4 linked regions of the Callithrix jacchus genome follow. The protein of the gene in region 4 interacts with the protein of the main gene of each other region in a pairwise test. Links are inferred from orthologs where the notes say so. Each region holds a gene or a part of one and is shown on either strand. Other genes may lie near its edges.

Region 1 (4,280 bases), on a different chromosome or scaffold from region 4:
TCTCTGAATTTTGTGTCTACTTTTTGTTGTTGTTGTTGTTCTGAGGCGAAGTTTCACTTGTTGCCCAGGCTGGGGCGCAGTGGCAATCTTGGCTTGCTGCAGCCTCCACCTCCTGGGTTCAAACAGTCCCCTGCCTCAGCCTCCCAAGTAGCCGGGATTATAGGTGCCTGCCACCACACCCAGCTAATTCTTGTATTTTTGGTAGAAAGGGTTTCACCATGTTGGCCAGGTGGGTTTGGAACTCCTGACCTCAGGTCATCCACCCGCCTCAGTTTCTCCAAGTACTGGGATTACAGGCGTTGAGCCACTGCACCCAGCCCCCATCTCTAAATTTAAAAAAAAAATGTCTTGTCTAGAATCTAAAGGGATTCTGTTGAGCTTAAAGGTTTTCCTGGGTTTTTGAGAGGTGCTGTTAGTCATCATCCTACTGGAGGGACTAGCATTTCAGAGGATCAGACTGTTTCCCCTTATTTCCTTTTCATCCACTGTAGGATGAGAGCCACTCAGAGTGGGTGTCTTGTGTCCGCTTCTCACCCAACAGCAGCAACCCTATCATTGTCTCCTGCGGCTGGGACAAGCTGGTCAAGGTGAGCTTCGAGCCAAAGCAGGGGCTTTACCAGTCAGGTTGTGCTCCCAGGTGGTTATAGGCTCCAACTCCCGTGTAAGGCTTTACAGATTCCCTCAGTTGACTCTTTCTCTTGTTACATGATCTGAAGAAGCTAATTGATATCCCTTATAAGTCCAGACATAGCACTGGGTATGTGTCATAATGTAACTTTAAGTGGCCAGGATGTGTTACTGAATGATAAATGCCTATTTTATCCAGCAATGCCAAGCCCTTTTTTGTTGGGTCTGACCCTAGTTGATCAGAGCTAGGTTGTTCACCTGTCAATGTCATATTTATGCAGGTATGGAACCTGGCTAACTGCAAGCTGAAGACCAACCACATTGGCCACACAGGCTATCTGAACACAGTGACTGTCTCTCCAGATGGATCCCTCTGTGCTTCTGGAGGCAAGGTATTTGGGGGCTAGGAGTTTCCTATTCAGTGAAAGACAGTGTCATGGAAGGAGCACTTAACCAGCATCTCTACCATAAAATGACAAACATTAGCCAAGATGGTTTTAGGATAATGAGATGACAGTCTGAGAATATGTTTCCAAAGATTACTATTCAGCAAATGACAGTTAAGGCATACTGTCTAGAAGAAAAAGTTGGGTTGTTTTTTAGAGATGGAATTTTGCTTTTTGCCCATTCTAGAGTGCAATGGTGCGATCTTGGCTCACCGCAACCTCCACCTCCTGGGTTCAAGCAGTTCTCCTGCCTCAGCCTCCCAAAGTGCTGGGATTACAGGCGTGAGCCACCGTGCCCTGAAAAAAGATTATTTTCTATGAAGTTGGTTTCTTGAAGCAATTGATGAGATTGAGATCCTAGTTTTCAGAAATGATAACAGTGTTTATATAAATTGGGAGGATTTTTATTGATAATGTTGGTAAGGTCTTGCGTTAAAGGAAGGGCTTATAGAAATAAATTGGTACTCAAGTCATTAGCTTTCAAGAAACCTGGGGTAATGGAAGACAGGTAAGAACTGATTCTGATGGAATCTTGAGATGGGCAGGATTAACATCTGGAACAGGTCATAGTGTCCTGATTAACCTACCTGTTTGCCCAGGATGGCCAGGCCATGTTATGGGATCTCAACGAAGGCAAGCACCTTTACACCCTAGATGGTGGGGACATCATCAACGCCCTATGCTTCAGCCCTAACCGCTATTGGCTCTGTGCTGCTACAGGCCCCAGCATCAAGATTTGGGTGAGTGTGGATTACAGTTGAGTGAGTACCTGGCTACACTCTCTAAGCCCTGACAATGTTTTGGTTACTATATATGCCATCTGACTCCCATGTGGCAGCTAAGCTTACTCAATATCCACAATTGACATCTGGATAACTCTTTGTTGTGGAGTGCTGTCTTGTACATTTTAGGATGTTTAACAGCATTTCCAGCATCTACTAGATGCCAGTAGCAAACCACCCTTCCACTATGGCAACTAAAAATGCATCTAGGCATTGATAACAAAATCATCCCTTTGTAACTTGAAAATCTTGAGTTATAAAGGGGCTTTTAATAGGGGAGTCCGTCATTGGTAAACATTTTAAGGGTGCTTTTGCTCTCCCCAGGATTTAGAGGGGAAGATCATTGTAGACGAACTGAAGCAGGAAGTTATCAGCACCAGCAGCAAGGCAGAACCACCCCAGTGCACCTCCCTGGCCTGGTCTGCTGATGGCCAGGTAAGTGGGTCTGTCCTCTTAGGTAACTTGGCCAATGACTTTTCTCCCTCATTCTGTTAGTGTATCTAGTCTGTCAGACACAAGAGCAGCGTCTTTGGCATTAAGTGAAATGACAGCATAAGCATAATGCCCTAATTTGCCATGCCAGTGAGTACGTTTCTGCATCAGAGGGGAGATTGATCTGGAGGGCAGTGGCTATCAGCTTTCAGTTAATACCTTGATTAATCTGATCAGTTTTCAAATGTCTAGATCCTTATCACCAGCGGTTTCTTCCTCAAGGAATACATAACCACCACTTACATAATGTGACTGTTGAAGAGAGAGGGTTTTGTCTCATTTTTCTTGCTGAGACAGTCTCACTTAATCTTGCCAAGCTGGAGTGCAGTAGCATGATCCCAGCACATTGCAACCTCCATCTCCCTGGTTCAAGCGGTTCTCCTGCCTCAGCTTCCTGAGTAGTTGGGACTACAGGCGTGCACCACCACGCCCAGCTGATTTTTTTATTTTTTAGTAGAGGTGGGGCTTCACCATGTTGGCCAGGATGGTCTTCATCTCTTGACCTTGTGATCTGCCCACCTTGGCCTCTCAACGAGCTGAGATTACAGGCATGAGCCACTGTGCCCGGCCAAGAGAGAGGTTTCTTACAGACACCCCAGCATGGTGGCACATGCCTATGCGAGGCTGGGGTGGGAGTATCACTTGAACTGCAGGGGCTCAAGGCTTCAATGAGCCAGGATTTCACCACTGCACTGAAGCCTGGATAACAGAGCAAGACTCAAAAAAGCCACTTTTGCTTAATGTAGTGAGACTGTAGAGTTTATGATGCCAACCTGACCTGTCATTGTCATTTCTCCCCTGCAGACTCTGTTTGCTGGCTACACAGACAACCTGGTGCGAGTGTGGCAGGTGACCATTGGCACCCGCTAGAAGTTTGTGGCACAGCTTTACAAATTAAAGGAAAAAACTGGGTTTTTTGACTTTTAGAAGGTGTTATTTTTTTCTGATAAGCAAAAGGGTTTACCCTATCTATATTGCTTATGCATGAAATTTGCACTAGCAAGTTGGACATAAGGTATGTACTAAGTAAACAAGGCTTTGAGCGGGGAAGGGGAGTTAAGTTCTCAGGATTGGGGTAGCATAAAGTGGGATGTTAATGAGAAATCATAGCATTTTCCCTGAACCTAAACCCCATCAGTGTACCACCTATCAGGTGCAGATCATCAGGACCTACCTTCCACCTGGGGAACCTTGAGGGAAAGGACTGATTATTTCAAGGTGGTTGCAGTCAATTTTCAGGAAAAGCAGACTCCTCACGTCTAACCCCTGACACATAAGAATGGAACAAAGATGAATCCTCATTCCTCTTAAGACTTGAATATAGTTCAGAAGACTTCTTTAAGCTTGGCCTGGCAGTCTCTATCAACTTGGGTCTTTGAGGAAAATCAAGAGGTTTTTTGTTGTTTTTTGTGTGTGTGTGTGTGTGTTTTTGAGATGAGTTTTGCTCTGTTGCCCAGGCTGGAGTGCAGTGGCATGATCTCAGCTCAGTACAACCTCCTGAGTAGCTGGGATTACAGCCTCCTGTAACCACACCAGCTAACTTTTGTATTTTTCAATAGAGACGGGGTTTTGCCATGTTGGCCAGGCTGGGCCAGAACTTCCAGCATCAAGAGATCTTGCCATCTCAGCCTCCCAAAGGGCTGGGATTATAGGTGTGAGCCACCAGACCCATCTGAGTTTTTAATTCAACTCTCACTAGAGTTTACAACTTATTTATTCCTCATAATTACAGGTTAAAAGTTTTGGGGTGGTCAGAAAGTATTCATAAACATAACCATAAAGTTGGCCCTACTAAACATTTCCACTGCTGCTAACCTGGCCCTCAACCACTCAGGTTACTCAAGAGGATAGATGCCTTGTGAAAGGCCAGAAGTCAGCTGTTAAACTACAATTAATTAGCTTCAGATAGAAAACTTAGGGATGAACCATTCAA
Region 2 (4,927 bases), on a different chromosome or scaffold from region 4:
AGGTGCAAGAATCCACACATGACAAATCATATTCCAAAGTTTGAGTCAAAATTCCTGAGGTTCAGAACATGAGGTTTAGAACTAGACCTGCTGGACTACGCAACTTGGGCAGGTACTATTCAAGAATACATTAAGTGCTGCCCCCTCGACTTGTGCTAACTAGCTGCTGTGCCATGAAGTCACTTTTCCATAATAACAGTGGCAGTCTGAAGTTGACAGAAATCTATTTAATTCTAACTGTGCTGACCAAGCTGAGCTCCTGCAATGATGTTCGTCACTGTTATTTTTAATGGCCCTCAAATAGCTGTGAAAAGCTTGTGCAAATGGTTTTTAAATGATGACACAACTGACCTGTGTATGGGAAAAAACACGCTATGCAATAGGCAAAGCGAATCAGGACCTTACTTTACACCATACTCAAAATGGATCGGAGACCTAAACTAAGAGCTAAAACTAGAAAACGCTTTGAAAAAAATAAGGCATCAATCTTCACAACCTTGGATTAGGCAGTGGTTTCTTGGATGTGACACTAAAAAAGCACAAGTTGCACTTGGTGAATCAAAAGCAAAGTAAAAAGTAAAAAAGCGCAAGTGACCCAAAAAAAAAAAAACAGGTTAAAATGAACTTCATCAAAATAAATAACTTTTGTGTCAGAGGACATTACCAAGAATGAAAAGAAAACCCACAAAATGGGAAGTAATACATGCAAATCATTAATGTGATAAGAGAATTATACCCAGAATAAACTAAAGAACTCTTAAAACCCAACAATTAAAAAGGTAAATAGGCTGGGCAGCGTGGCTCACACCTGTAATTGGAGCACTCTGGGAGACCTAGGCAGGTAGATCATGAGGTCAGGAGTTCAAGACCAGCCTGGCCAACACTACAACACAGAAATTAGCCAGGCATGCGCCTATAATCCCAGCTACTCAGGAGGCGGAGGCAGGAGAATTGCTTGAACCCAGGAGGCAGAGGTTGCAGTGAGCCGAGATCCTGCCACTGCACTCCAGCCTGTATGACAGAGCAAGACTCCATGGGGTAGGGAGAAAGCTGCATATTGTAGGACTCTGTTTATATGAAATGACCAAAAGAGGCAATCTATAGAGAAAGTAGATTAGTGATTGCCTGCAGTGGCTAGATGGAGGAATCAGGAGTGACTGCTAATGGTATTCTTTGGAGATGACAATAATGTTCTAGAATTAGTTAGTGGTATCTGATGCATAATTTTATGAGGACTAAGAAACAATTTAATAAGCTTCAATAAATGGGTAAATTTTATGGTATATAAATTAAATCTCATTAAAGCTGTCACTTAAAAAAATAATTAAAGGCTGGGTGAGGTGGCTCACACCTGTAATCCCAGCACTTTGGGAGGCCAAGGTGGGCGGATCATGAGGTCAGGAGATCAAGACCATTCTGACCAACGTGGCAAAACCCTGTCTCTACTAAAAATACAAAACTAGCTGGGTGTGGTGGCGCATGCCTGTAATCCCAACTAACTCAGGAGGCTGAGGCAGGAGAATCGCTTGAACCTGGGAGGCAGAGGGTGCATTGAGCTGAGATCATGCCATTGCACTCCAGCCTGGGCAACAGGAACCAAACTCCTCTCAAAAAAAAAAAGTTATATATACATCATAAGGTCTATTATAAAATAATTCAATTTTAAAAACCTGGAAGATACTAAGTGTTTATCTGTGTAATAAGATTATGGATGACTATAATGCAAAAAAATTGTAAACACTTCAACAGTTAGCTTAGAAGGTGGGAGAGCTGCCTTAGGTCACAAACTCCCAACCTCTGATGGCAGCCCTGACTACAGTGTAACCCCATTCTGTTACACAGAAGTTACATGTTGCATTTTCACCCACTCTGGACATTAAGAGACCAGGGTCCTACTTTACTGGCGCTGTAAACCAGAGATCAATCTGATTCTGCCAGTACTTTTTTGTGTTCATTTTTGTCTCCTTAGTAATCAGCCCACAGCAAATTTGTGTTCAGTGAATCAACTATCTGGAACTTATAAATTTGTCCAAATGAATCCTTCACTCGCTTGAAAACCATTTATCAAAGAATCCACACCTGAACTCAAGGCTCTTCTGGGGATGATCCACGACGGGTCTTGCAGGGTAATGGAGTTGGTGCCCTGGAATCCCCAGACCAGTACTTACGTTTCCCCAGCAACTTTCTGCACTAATTTAGCTTCTGTCCCATTCAGTTCCAGCTCCCAACCTCCAGACATCTTAGGGAGGGTTTTATGCTTCTGGATTTTTCTTTCCTCCTTAATTTCATCACTCAGGAAATCAACAAAAGCTTTGTCTCCTAGAAATCCAGATACATTAAAAGGGAAGCCAGTTAGTCTAAAACATAAAATTATTACCCAAGTTATTGTAGCCAGAAATCTGGCCTGTTTCTAATCTCTGCTATTATGCTTACTCTGGAAGCCTCAGTTTCCTTATCTGTAAAAATAACACAATAGTATTGCGAAGCTAAGGACGTCCAACAGCGAACGCATTGCCACCTTCTGTTGTAAAGCAGAAGAACTTCCAGGCATCCTCTTCCACTGCCAAACGATTTAACTATGCTATTTTCAATCACGACCTTGGGCTTTCCCAAAGGTCCACTTTTGAGAGACTAAAGCTAAGGATAGAGGTACCCTCTAGTATTTATCTACCCCGTTCCAACAGAAAATGAAACTTGTGGAAAGGCGAGGTGGGGAAATATGATCACACGTGGGTTTAACCCGCTGGTTGCCAATCAATGGAATAATGTCCCAGATCTCGGAGGTCGGTTGCAGGCGCCACTCCTGGTCTACGTTTTTCTTTCGTAGACCGCAAACCCCAACAACAGCCCTGGCCCACGAGCATGAACCTCACCTTCGGTGTGCAGCGCGCCGCAGCCACAGCCGCAGGCGCAGGGCCCGCGAGGCCGCAGGAGGCCCGGCCGCTGCTCGGAACCTGCGCGCACGCTGAGCAGCCCGAAGGGCCGGGCGCAGAGCTGGGGCGCCGGCTGCAGGAGCTGCCGGAATGGCGAAGCAGGCGAGGCGGGAGCCGCGGCGCGGAGGCCGGCAACGGAGGAGCCCAGTACACGGGGCACGCAGCGTAGCAGAGGCAGCATCGCGGAGAGGACTAGGAACACGTGCAGACGCAAAGGACTACCCAACTCTAGGCTCCCCGCGACCTAGCCCGCTGCCGGAAGCCCCGCCCCGTCAGGAAGCGCTTCCCGCGCCGGCGCTCTGAAGACCTAAGGCCAGTGGGAGGAATCGCGCCCTCTGCTGGAGACCTCCGGTATAGCCCGGGAAGCCTCGAATTTTTTCCGCGAGCTTTCTTGCTGCGTTAGCCTGAGGCCGCTGTCCGAAGCTGTTTAATTCCCTTCGGTGGCTGCTTAGACATTTTCCATCTACTGGTCTCAAGCCACACCGTTTTTGGGCTGCGTGGAATGCACTCTTGTCTCCCCTCAGCTCTTACCAGACCCTTACACGGTCACTTTCCTCTAGGAGGCTGTGGTGTTTCTGTGTGTGTGTGTACAGGTTTTCATCCACAGTTCCTGGCTGTGGTGTTACAGTGTGTGTGTGTGTGTGTGTGTGTAGGTTTTCATCCATAGTTCCTGGGAGGCTGTGGTGTCACGGTGTGTGTATAGGTTTTCATCCAGTGTGTGTGTGTGTGTGTAGGTTTTCATCCACAGTTCCTGGGAGGCTGTGGTGTCACGGTGTGTGTATAGGTTTTCATCCAGTGTGTGTGTGTGTGTGTGTATAGGTTTTCATCCACTGTGTGTGTGTGTGTGTGTGTGTATAGGTTTTCATCCACAGTTCCTGGCTCTTAACTCTCACAGCCCTTGTTACAGTGTTCTGTGATAATGTTGGGTGTGTTAGGCCTCAGAGAATAGAATCTCTCTCCCCTCCTCCTCCCCTTTCACAGGCCCCATAGCGGGACTCTCATCTCCCCCCACATTTCTGATTGTGGGTCTTAAGTCCCTCCCCAGAGAAGGTCCCACCCTATACCTTGGGGAAAGAGATGCTGAAGTTTGGAAGCTTCCATAAAAACCCAAGAGGACAGGGTTTGGAGAGCCTCTGAGAGCTAAACACTTGGAGGTTCCTGGAGGGCTGTAGCCCTGGGAGGGGAGCTCATCTCCTTATCCGCATCCTCGGTCATATCCTTTACATTAAACCAGTAAATGTGTTTCCCTGAGTTCTGTGAGAGGCTCAAGTAAATTCATATAACCCAAAGAGGGGGTTCAGATTTAGATTAAGAACCAAGAATCCCACCTTCTCAGGATACACAGGACATATAAGCTACCAAGAAGGTATGGCTTACTAACTCATGATAAGACTAACACTTAATATCTTCTGAACACTCCTGAGTCACAGGACACCTTTATAAGAAAAGAAAAGCTATTTTCTAAACAATTTTCAATGAATAACGGAAAGGAGATTCAGAAAACGAGCCACACACATCATGTAAGATTAGTTTTTAATGGATTTGATCATCGGGTGCAAACTTGAGCATTATGTACAAGAGCTTTCTGTAGTTATTTCTACACAAACAAAAGCCTGAACCTACTTGATTTTTTTCCTCCTCCCTCTAGTTACCAAGGAATGCTATCTTAGATGCATGGCCTATTATCACACTGGTCTTTAAAAAAAAAAAAAAAATGCATGGCCACAGTTCCAGGCAGTTCCTGGTAGCTGGATTTAGGATTTATATATCACAGTACAGTACATAATCAGTTTTACCCACAGTGCAAAACTTGCTTCCATTCAGGCATCTCTTTGCAACTGGCAGCAATGCAGCATTAGGGTTTTTATCCAGGACATGGTGTTTGCAGTCCTGCCCCTTGTAGTAAAATATGTGTTACTCTGGGTGCTGCACACTCCATGATTACTAGAAGGCAAACACCTGAGGCATGCAATCTGGGTGGAGTGCATCTATTT
Region 3 (4,966 bases), on a different chromosome or scaffold from region 4:
CACAGAAAACGGTTTCCCTACTCCTTGCTCTAAGCAACTGATGATGACCTTGAGTAGTGGCAGTAGGAATGAAAAGACTCTGAACTGACATTTACAGAGTTTAGGACTGACTCAGGACGGCCTTTAGGAGGTGGAATTGACAGGCCTAGGCGGCATTGGTAGGGGTAAGGGATACTGCACTAGCCTCCTAACTGCTTTCTCTACTTCCATTCCTTGCCCCTTTGCAACCCATTCTCCACTCAGCAGTCATTTTTAAAAAGATGCCCCTCCCTACTTATGACTCTAAAATTGCTCTTCTCACTCTTGCCCTTAGGATATATTTCCAATTAAATATACCTGTGACCCTGCCCACCTCTGCAACCCAATGCCACACTGGAGTCTTATTGAACTACTTGACTTGCATTTCCCGAGATCCCACCTCTTCTCGCCTGTACCCTGTGAGCGGAAAGTCAGCCCTCCACCTTCTCCCTGCTTCCACTCCCAAAATACTTCGTGCTTTTAATTTAATTTTATTTTTTTAAAGACGGGGTTTCACCATGTTGGTCAGGCTAGTTTTGAACTCCCGACCTCAGGTGATCCGCCCGCCTTGGCCTCCAAAGTGCTTGGATTACAGGCGTGAACCCACGCCCGGCCCAATATTTCGTGCTTTTGCAGCTCTCGAGTATTTCCAGTGCTAGCTGTTTAAATTCCTGCCGCCATCAGAAGGCAGAAACTGACTCGAGAACTATTCCATCCCCAGCCGATAGTAGACGCTTAAAAAAGAACGAAAGACGGTGGGTGGAGGACTTCAGTAACATCAGGTGGCAGCCTCAATTTTATCGTTTGTGAAACGTGGATAGTAATCCTTCTATCACATGGCTGTTGTCGGAATAAAATGGAAAAACCAAACAGGCTAGCTTGTTCAATAAATGTGAGTTGAATTAAATCTGATTTGTGGCCAGTAGAAAAAGACATGAACACTCGAAGACACTTCTTTTTAATACATGTGTATGCCTGGTAAAACGGATCAGAAGGCAGGTCCCCATGGAGCACACCCTCGCCTTAAACATGCTAAACGTGCTGAGCCCAGGCTGTCTGAGCCTGCGTGGTCCCTCCAAGGTGACTGCTCCGACAAAAGCGTAAGCTCCTCAAACGCATACGTTTAAGGCAATTCCAGAAACCATAGGCTGTGCCGCCACAACACGGCCATTAAAGAAAAGATGACTTTATGCCTGCAGTCATGTTCTCAGATCACAAGGACTGTATTTGGAGCAGAGAGGGAGGGAAGCCTTCTCTTTACGAAGGGCTAATGCGTAGTCGGGCCCCCCTCCAATCTCGGGTCCGGCCGGGTAATTCCTGCCCAGCATTCGGGCGTGCCTTTTCTTCAGCTGGGACACAACCCTGAACGTGGGGCTAGCCAGCCCGGCGGCTGCCTCGTGGAAATCACGTTCTCTCTGCCCGTCCTCTCGGGTACTCTATGGTTTTTGTGGCCGACTACTCTAATTCTAGTTCCGGTCTCTATGGCGGCCGGCGGAGGCAGGAACGGTTGTAGGTCGGCTGAATTAGCCGCCAAAGGGCCAATGAGAGTGGAGAACTGATAAAATATTATCCAGTAGAAGCCAGGAATTGGGGTCAGGTGGGCAGATTGACAGCAGCAGTGGCCAGTGAACAACGCCTAGGGCGGGTCGATCGTAGGGCTTATCCCGCCTGTCCCGCCATTCTCGCTAGTTCGATCGGTAGCGGGAGCGGAGAGCGGACCCCAGAGAGCCCTGAGCAGCCCCACCGCCGCCGCCGGCCTAGTTACCATCACATCCCGGGAGGAGCCGTAGCTGCCGTAGCCGGCCCCAGTCACCATCACCGCAACCATGAGCAGCGAGGCCGAGACCCAGCAGCCGCCCGCCGCCCCCCCCGCCGCCCCCGCCCTCAGCGCCGCCGACACCAAGCCCGGCACTACGGGCAGCGGCGCAGGGAGCGGTGGCCCGGGCGGCCTCACATCGGCGGCGCCTGCCGGCGGGGACAAGAAGGTCATCGGTGAGGGCCGGACGGGGACGGGTGTGGGGCCCTCGGGCAGCCTGGCAGCGGAACCGTTAGCCTGTGCAGGGCGAGCCGGCGGGCGCGCGGCCGGCGGGGACCGACTCCGCGGCGCGCGGCCGCCCCTCCCCCAGCACCCCCACTCATCCTCACGGGGGCCCGCCCGGCAGGCGCGCGCGCTCTGCCTCCTGCGCCCCCTGTGGACCCCGCGCGGACGCGCGCCCCTCCCCCTGCGGTCGCGCGCCCGCCAACCGCGTGTGCGACGGGGTCCCCTCCCCGCGACCGGCCTCGTGCGCTGTGGCCCGCACGCCGTTGTTCGCGTCTCCCCCACCCAGCTCCCTTCCGCGTGTGCTCAGAGGGCGCGGCGCACCGCCTACGCAGGCCGGAGTGGGCCGGGGCGGCTTCCCCTTCCCTCACGTGCTCTCCGCCCGCGGCCTGCGCACACACCCATTCTGGGCCCGCGCCCCGGGCCTGCCCTGGAGCGCCCCGCGGCTTCAGACTCACCCACGTGTGCGGCGGCGGCGGTGGTGGCGTGGCCCGGCACCCGGGAGGTGGAGAGAAAGGGCTGTCAGGTGGCCTAGCGGGCAGCGTCCTAGGGACCGGAGACCGAAGCCGGGCGGGTTTGGAAAAGGATAGGTGGTAATCGTGGCTTGTTTTGCTTTGTTTTCTTTTCCAGCAACGAAGGTTTTGGGAACAGTAAAATGGTTCAATGTAAGGAACGGATATGGTTTCATCAACAGGTGAGCTCCCGGACCCTGAAGCTTCCATCCCACTGTCTCGCTTGTTGCCTGCTCTGTCGGCTTCTTGGCGCTTGGGAAGCCCCGAAGGGCGTTTACTACCTCTGGTGTATTAGTGTGATTTTTTTTTTTTTTTTTTTTAATTCCTTGACGACTGGAGGGATTAGTGGATCTAGAGAAGGTCTTTGTTTTGCAGCTAAATGTTAATTTGAAGCCAACTTCAAAGGCTTTCTTACAGTACAAAGCAATTTAAAAGGCAAGCAAAGTGAATGAGCCATGCCTTAACAGGGTAAACGGGAAACTACGGTCCTGTACATTTTTATCCTTGTTATCCTTTTCTACTTGATTGAACTCGGTGTTTGAGAGAGTGATCCACTGACATCGGATATTTACACCTTGTTAACATTTTGGGGGTAAGATTTGACGTGCCAAGTATATGAGGTTTTGTCATCTTTACCGAGAGGTGTTGCCTTTTTCACCTTCATTGTAATACCTTAGATAAATTTTATATTAGCACCAGAGAGAAGCTGTTTTTATTTGCTCATAGAATAATGTATCTGCTAGAAAATGGTTCTTTGCTTTCTTCAGTTCTTATTTTTCATTCTTCCTTGTCCTAAAATCATACTGATTAAATCGATTTCTATTAGATTTCTGGCTATAGCTTAGAGTGGCCATAGTCCCTGGTAACTTGACATTGTTCTTGCTTGAAGGCAAAGCTGCAGGCTCCATCTTTAGGACTTACTTTCGGGTTGTTGCTGGTAATGTGCAGTACACTGGATTCCATGGGCTCCCTTGTGAGCCAGGCATCATTTTCAAGATGGCTGCCAAGGCTTAGTAGTGCAGTTTACATGAGTGTAGAGCCCTGGGTATGCCAATAGGAATCTTGGCCTTATAGGTATGGTACATAGTGCCATCTCAGCATTCTCTTACTGTAGAAGACCTAAGCAGATGATTAAAAGAACAATTAAGAATGTTTGTGGAGTGGACAACAAATGGACGAAATCAAGCTTAAGGACAGACAATCATAGCTTGATGAAAAACCGTTCGTTCATTAATCAATCATACATTATCGTGGAAACAGAGTAAGAGAGAAGCATTTGATGGTCTATTCTCTACTTTTGCAATTGTGGGAAAACGTTTTGTTTCTTCCAAAATCTTAGGATTTTCCAACCTTCTATACTGTTGCCACTGTTGTGGCTGTAACTATGTTTTTCATTAATTTTTTGATAATAGCTTATTAGCAAGGAAGGAGGGGAATGCTTATATATGATTGATATACTGATAGCTTTTTAACTGATCTTTCTGAACTTACTAGTGTTTTAGTTTGTGTTTCTGTCTTATTCTGAGTCTCCGAACTAGTCTAACCCTTCAACCAGTGTTTTTCAGATTTAAGTGTGCTTGCCTAGGTCTGGGTACATTTTTTAGCAAGAATAATGTGAGCCATACCTTCAAAATCACTGCTTTTAACCCTTGACCCAATGTAATGGTAACTTTGGTGTGCAGATTTGCAGCCTTTTCAGTGGGTAGATTGCAGTTTTGTATGTATGAAGTTTAGCGTGTGCCATGTTTCGCTACATTTTGTTGAGTGGCATAGGTTATCACATTTTTAAAAATCAAGTTTTATCCAAAATAAGAGTAATTCTTACAAGTATTTCATGAGGTGTCATTCATTGAATATCTCTGTTCTGAATTGGAATCAACTCAATTGGTCATCCTCCAGGGCAAATTGTGAATTGGCTTTTGATGGTCTTTTGTTTGGACTATCCTAACCTCAATTATTTTGTCAAATTGACTGGTTAAAATGTTCTTTATGCTTCTGAACTGGTTGTTTTAATGACTGACACTTTTTGATAAGATGCTGTAAAATCTGACTCCAATTAAATACAGGGAAGGTTTGCTTTAATTAAGGAAAGTATGTGTTAAATCAGTTTGGAAGCCAGCAGTTGGTTCTATATGTGGTTCATGTAGTAGAACAAATAGACTTGGCTGGAGGCACCTGGTTCTTAAGAGGGAAGGAGACAGACTGACACATTACGTGTGCTGTTTTCTATATAAAGGAGAGGGTGCAGTGTTTGGGATGACTAGTGTGACAACTTTTAATTGCAATTTTTGGATGCGCTGGATTATATATTCTAGGATTGTAAGATTTTGTTATTGCCCGGGCTGGAGTGCAGTGGTGCGGCTCACCACAGCCCCCACCTCCTGGGTTCCAGTCATTC
Region 4 (4,286 bases):
AGTAAGGACTTTGTCCACTCTGCCAGCATCACATGAGCCCAGGACATATAATCAGGTCACAGGAAGCAAAACGTCAGGTGTTCCAGTTCAATCCCGAGCTGGGGAGCTCATCTAATGCAGATGAGAGTGAGTTTTCTCCGATCCGGAGACTGCCTTCACGGCAGACCCTGGAAGCCAGGGCTACAGAATGGTCTCTCACCGATGGATGTCCATGATGCTACAACACAGTCCAAATGCCCCAACATCAGTCCCACACTGGCTACAGGAAGAAGCAACTGCAGAAACTGATGACCCTCTGAAATTAGAACATCCTGGGCCTGGGGCACTGTCCTTATCTACTTCCTTCAGCAAACCACCTGAGAATTTACAATACCGATACCTACCACCACTTCTGCTCTGGGTCCATAGTTCTCTGCCCTCCTGATCCTTCCCCGGCCTCCCCGGTTGCCTCCTCTGGCTCCACGCCCGGGACGAGGGAGGTTACCAAAATTAATCTCCAGCTGAGATGTGATGTCATTGGCGGCTTTCCGGAAAACATGGGAATCGTCCTCATAGTCATCTTTTACCATCTGAAACATAGTTACAGCATCAAACACAAGTCCACAGCCATCCCCACACTCAGCTGCCTTAGTGGCTGCGATGTGCTGCCCAGGAGCTAAAACACCAGCAGGGGCCAGACAGAGCCCTAGGCTGCAGCGCTGGACAAAGGAAGACAGCACTGCTGTTTCTGTACCTGTTGCAGTCCCCCATTCTTGCAATTCCAAACATCCGTGAACTTACTATGATTCAAAGGTGGGTGGGACCAAATTTCTATTAGCTGAGCAGGTTAAGATGTAAGATTTGGCATGAGCAATCATAGCAAATGATATACATGTTTTATATCTAAGTGCATTTTGCTGAGATAAAGCTTTCATTTCTGCTTATTTTCTGTCTTATCTGCTCACAAATGCTTTGATAAATAAGGAAACGTCCCCTTTCCAGAATAGAACAGAGAAATTCCTTTCAGCAGGGGTGCTGACTATAAATATCAGGTGCTAAAAGTCACATGACTTATAATAAACAATTCTGACCCAAAATATAGAGAAATTTTATAAAATAACAGAGTACAGGTACCTGAGTGCTCTACCAACGCTGCACAAGGAAGTTAGGCTGCTTTTTTTTTTTTTTACTTAAAACTCTATCTCTTGTTACAACTATATTAAATAAATTAATTAAATCGGATCCAAATTTGATTTGGCTTCAACTCCTAATAATGGATAAAACAAAACAAAACAAATAAACTAAAATCCTACAGAAAGGAAACCTGTCAATGACCTCGGGTGAGAATCTCCAAAGTGCTGGAACAGTAAACATTCCTACAACCAGGAAACGGGACACAACTGCCATGAGCACATCGAAACCTTTAGGCCACAGGCTCATGATGGGCTTCGTGTTTAACATTTGCGTCCCCTTTAAGGTCTCAGGTTAAAGCAGAGGCTTTAGGTAGTTGGACACTTAATGCTAAGAGGATGAAGAGAAACAATCCAGGAGCACTGGCACTCTGTGAAAAGGTAAACACACAAAAATAGTAACAGGCAAAATAATCAACTCTTGCATTGTTTGGCACTGGCAGGGAGAGCACTGGTAAGTTCTGTCCCGGGGCGCTGCCTCTGCAGGAAGGGCCATGGGGCGGTAAAACGGGGTGAACCCAGTCTAAGGGCTCCACTTGCAGCTCCAGCTGGCCCCGCCAAAGTGCTTCAACTGCCCAGGGCCTTACACGGGGTTGTTATTAGGTCTGAACTTTGCTAGGTGTTCTAGCGCTTCTGTATTTTCAGGTGTCCAGAACAAAGTAAACTGATGAACTGAAGATCTGGCTGATGTTGCTTTAGAATTGTTCTTAAAGCAACATAATCCTCAAGATTATGTTATAAAGTCCTCAATCCCCTAAGATTAACAAGGACCAAGATGTGTGCTTTACCGAGACCAAGCTCGATGACTCAGCTAACCCACTTGCTTCAAATATTCTGAGAGACCTCTGGAGCCAGGGAGGATGAATCTGGCATGGATTAAAGAAGGGCAGCTTCTATTTTTACCTAACATGTCAGCTGCACATTTCAACCCTGACAGCACATTTGTTTTAGAGAAAGTTTTATTTACAATGCCTAGAACAAAGAACAAAGGAAGTGGACAAGTAAAGAACCAACCCAGCTCGCTAATGGACTTAGAAAACACCTGCCTGGGATCGCCAGGGAAATAAGGCTCTGGCCACCTAGTCTACAAAAAGCCATTTCTTGTGAACAGCTCAAAGCTTAGTAGTAAGGCCTCCTACAGCTTGGGCTGGCCAAAACAAGAAGGTGGGAGAGAATCCTGTATCTTAAATACCCTCTAATCAAAGTATTCACTCAGAAAACAAAACTAACTGAAGTGTCAATCACTCTACAATAGTATAACATTCCTGAGATTCCAAATGAAAATCAATGACTGATACCCTGCACAGGGGAAGTGCCTGCTCATTCCCACCCTGACACAGTGACTGGTATCAAGCTGTAACTGAATGACACAGATTCTAAATCCCATGATGAGAATGCTTCAATGGACCTATCCTTAAGTTCACTAACATACACAGGTGACTCGATGACCAGCGGCATCCCTATCAACATACACTGCTAGATATTTCCCCAGAAACCTCCCCCTGCAAAACGGAAGCATCTGAGAAGAGCTAGATGTGAGTCTTGAGAAATAAGGCCCTCACAACACAGGAGATCCCTGAGCAACCCTCGCAGCATGCTGGCCACTGTGGCAGCGCCTGACTAAGCTGCCAGGCAATTTGGGGGCTCATCTTCTGCCACATCTGCAGTTAGGCAGGGGGCGCGAAGCTGCTGAACCAACATGGGAAAGCCGTCAGAAGAGCATGGCACCTCAACCACAGTTTAAAAAGTCATCAACTACTCACACTGAAATGCTCTCATCAAGAATCAGAGCTGAAGGTAAACCTAATTAGGGAATACAGAGTGTAATTATCCTTTGAATAACTTTGAATTGTACAAGAAACAATCTGTAACTCTCACTTGAGAAAAATGCAGTTAACACACAGTGTGTGTACAGTCCCAGGGTGAGCAGGAGATGCACTGTTAATCAAACTGCTTTGCGTTTCTGTCAGTAACACAAAGTTTCAATTCCTTTCCTTAATGAGCAATAAAGACACAGTAAAATTGGGCATATATCATCTCTGATTAGAAACAAGAGCACCAACCACTAATGTTCCATTTTCAAGATGGAAGTGGAAAGGTGCATTTCACTTCCAATAAGGTAAAAGTAAAGATTACCTCTACATACAAAATATAATGCTTACATCATCTCTATATTTTGACTTGTGAATCACCACTGCTTTGGAAGGAACAGTGGATTCTGGTTTCCGGATGTTAAACTCAGGCTTTGGTCTGGTCTGTTCTTGAAGATTTTTCCACTCATCTAAAGTCATCTCTTGAACTTGAGTTTCTTCTTCTACCTCCAACTCAGGAACTCTATAAAGAGATGTATAATCATAAATAATAATTTTTGATGGTACTGAAATGTCTACTTTATTAAAGTTATAACCATTAATTAAACATACTTTTGTGGTACTGCATCTCAAATGTAAATAAGGTAAGACAATCTTTGACTCACAAGCTTCCATATTTTATTTTCAACATTTTATGTCATCACTGCCAACAGAAGATACTTCCTGTGTTCAAAGCAATCTTTGAAAAATGGGAACATCATCATCCTGATGACATTAACATTACACTTCACCACTGGCACTCCCTTCCAGAGAGCATGACAGACAAAATGAGGCAATTATGGAAAATGGGAGAAGCTACCAAAATAACATACAGGAAACCATAAACAGAAGTTTTAAAGCAGTGGCTCATAAATGCATACTTTTGTAGCTCTCCTCTTTAAATTAATGAGTTTTAAAAAGAAAACAAAGACAGACATATAGATTGATAGAATAGAATTCAGAGTCCAGAAATAAACCCTCACATTTACGGTCAATTGATTTTTTTTTTTTCCAATCATGGTGCCAAAGACAATTCAATGGAGAATGGAAAGTACTTTCAACAAATGGTGCTGGGACAACTGGATATCCACCTCAAAAGAAAGAATGAAGTTGGACTCCTGCCTCACACCATCAATATAAGAGCTAAAATAGAAAACTCTTAGCAGAAAACCTAGGCAGAAATCTTTGTAACCCTAGATTGGGCAATGGTTTCTTCCACATGACACCAAAAGCACAAGCAACAAAAGTACATACATTGAATGTCGTC

The links.
Region 1: the proteins of HABP4 (region 4) and RACK1 interact in a two-hybrid assay, tested with the Homo sapiens proteins (2 studies listed by BioGRID). The link is inferred for Callithrix jacchus from reciprocal best matches to the Homo sapiens genes HABP4 and RACK1.
Region 2: the proteins of HABP4 (region 4) and C1QBP interact in a two-hybrid assay, tested with the Homo sapiens proteins (2 studies listed by BioGRID and IntAct). The link is inferred for Callithrix jacchus from reciprocal best matches to the Homo sapiens genes HABP4 and C1QBP.
Region 3: the proteins of HABP4 (region 4) and YBX1 interact in a two-hybrid assay, tested with the Homo sapiens proteins (2 studies listed by BioGRID and IntAct). The link is inferred for Callithrix jacchus from reciprocal best matches to the Homo sapiens genes HABP4 and YBX1.

Annotation. Positions count from the first base shown.
Region 1 is NC_133503.1:73,612,274-73,616,553, forward strand, and holds the end of RACK1 (small ribosomal subunit protein RACK1), read left to right. Parts: intron 1-491; coding exon 492-587; intron 588-908; coding exon 909-1,019; intron 1,020-1,117; exon of another isoform or gene 1,118-1,347; coding exon of another isoform or gene 1,348-1,370; intron 1,371-1,672; coding exon 1,673-1,813; intron 1,814-2,179; coding exon 2,180-2,290; intron 2,291-3,151; coding exon 3,152-3,217; 3' UTR 3,218-3,273; downstream 3,274-4,280. UniProt on the Homo sapiens protein: Scaffolding protein involved in the recruitment, assembly and/or regulation of a variety of signaling molecules. Interacts with a wide variety of proteins and plays a role in many cellular processes.
Region 2 is NC_133506.1:106,967,760-106,972,686, forward strand, and holds the start of C1QBP (complement component 1 Q subcomponent-binding protein, mitochondrial), read right to left. Parts: upstream 3,208-4,927; 5' UTR 3,115-3,207; coding exon 2,874-3,114; intron 2,320-2,873; coding exon 2,169-2,319; intron 1-2,168.
Region 3 is NC_133508.1:79,326,966-79,331,931, forward strand, and holds the start of YBX1 (Y-box-binding protein 1), read left to right. Parts: upstream 1-1,705; 5' UTR 1,706-1,844; coding exon 1,845-2,010; intron 2,011-2,686; coding exon 2,687-2,750; intron 2,751-4,966. UniProt on the Homo sapiens protein: DNA- and RNA-binding protein involved in various processes, such as translational repression, RNA stabilization, mRNA splicing, DNA repair and transcription regulation.
Region 4 is NC_133502.1:77,345,904-77,350,189, forward strand, and holds part of HABP4 (intracellular hyaluronan-binding protein 4), read right to left. Parts: intron 3,504-4,286; coding exon 3,332-3,503; intron 570-3,331; coding exon 384-569; intron 1-383. UniProt on the Homo sapiens protein: Ribosome-binding protein that promotes ribosome hibernation, a process during which ribosomes are stabilized in an inactive state and preserved from proteasomal degradation.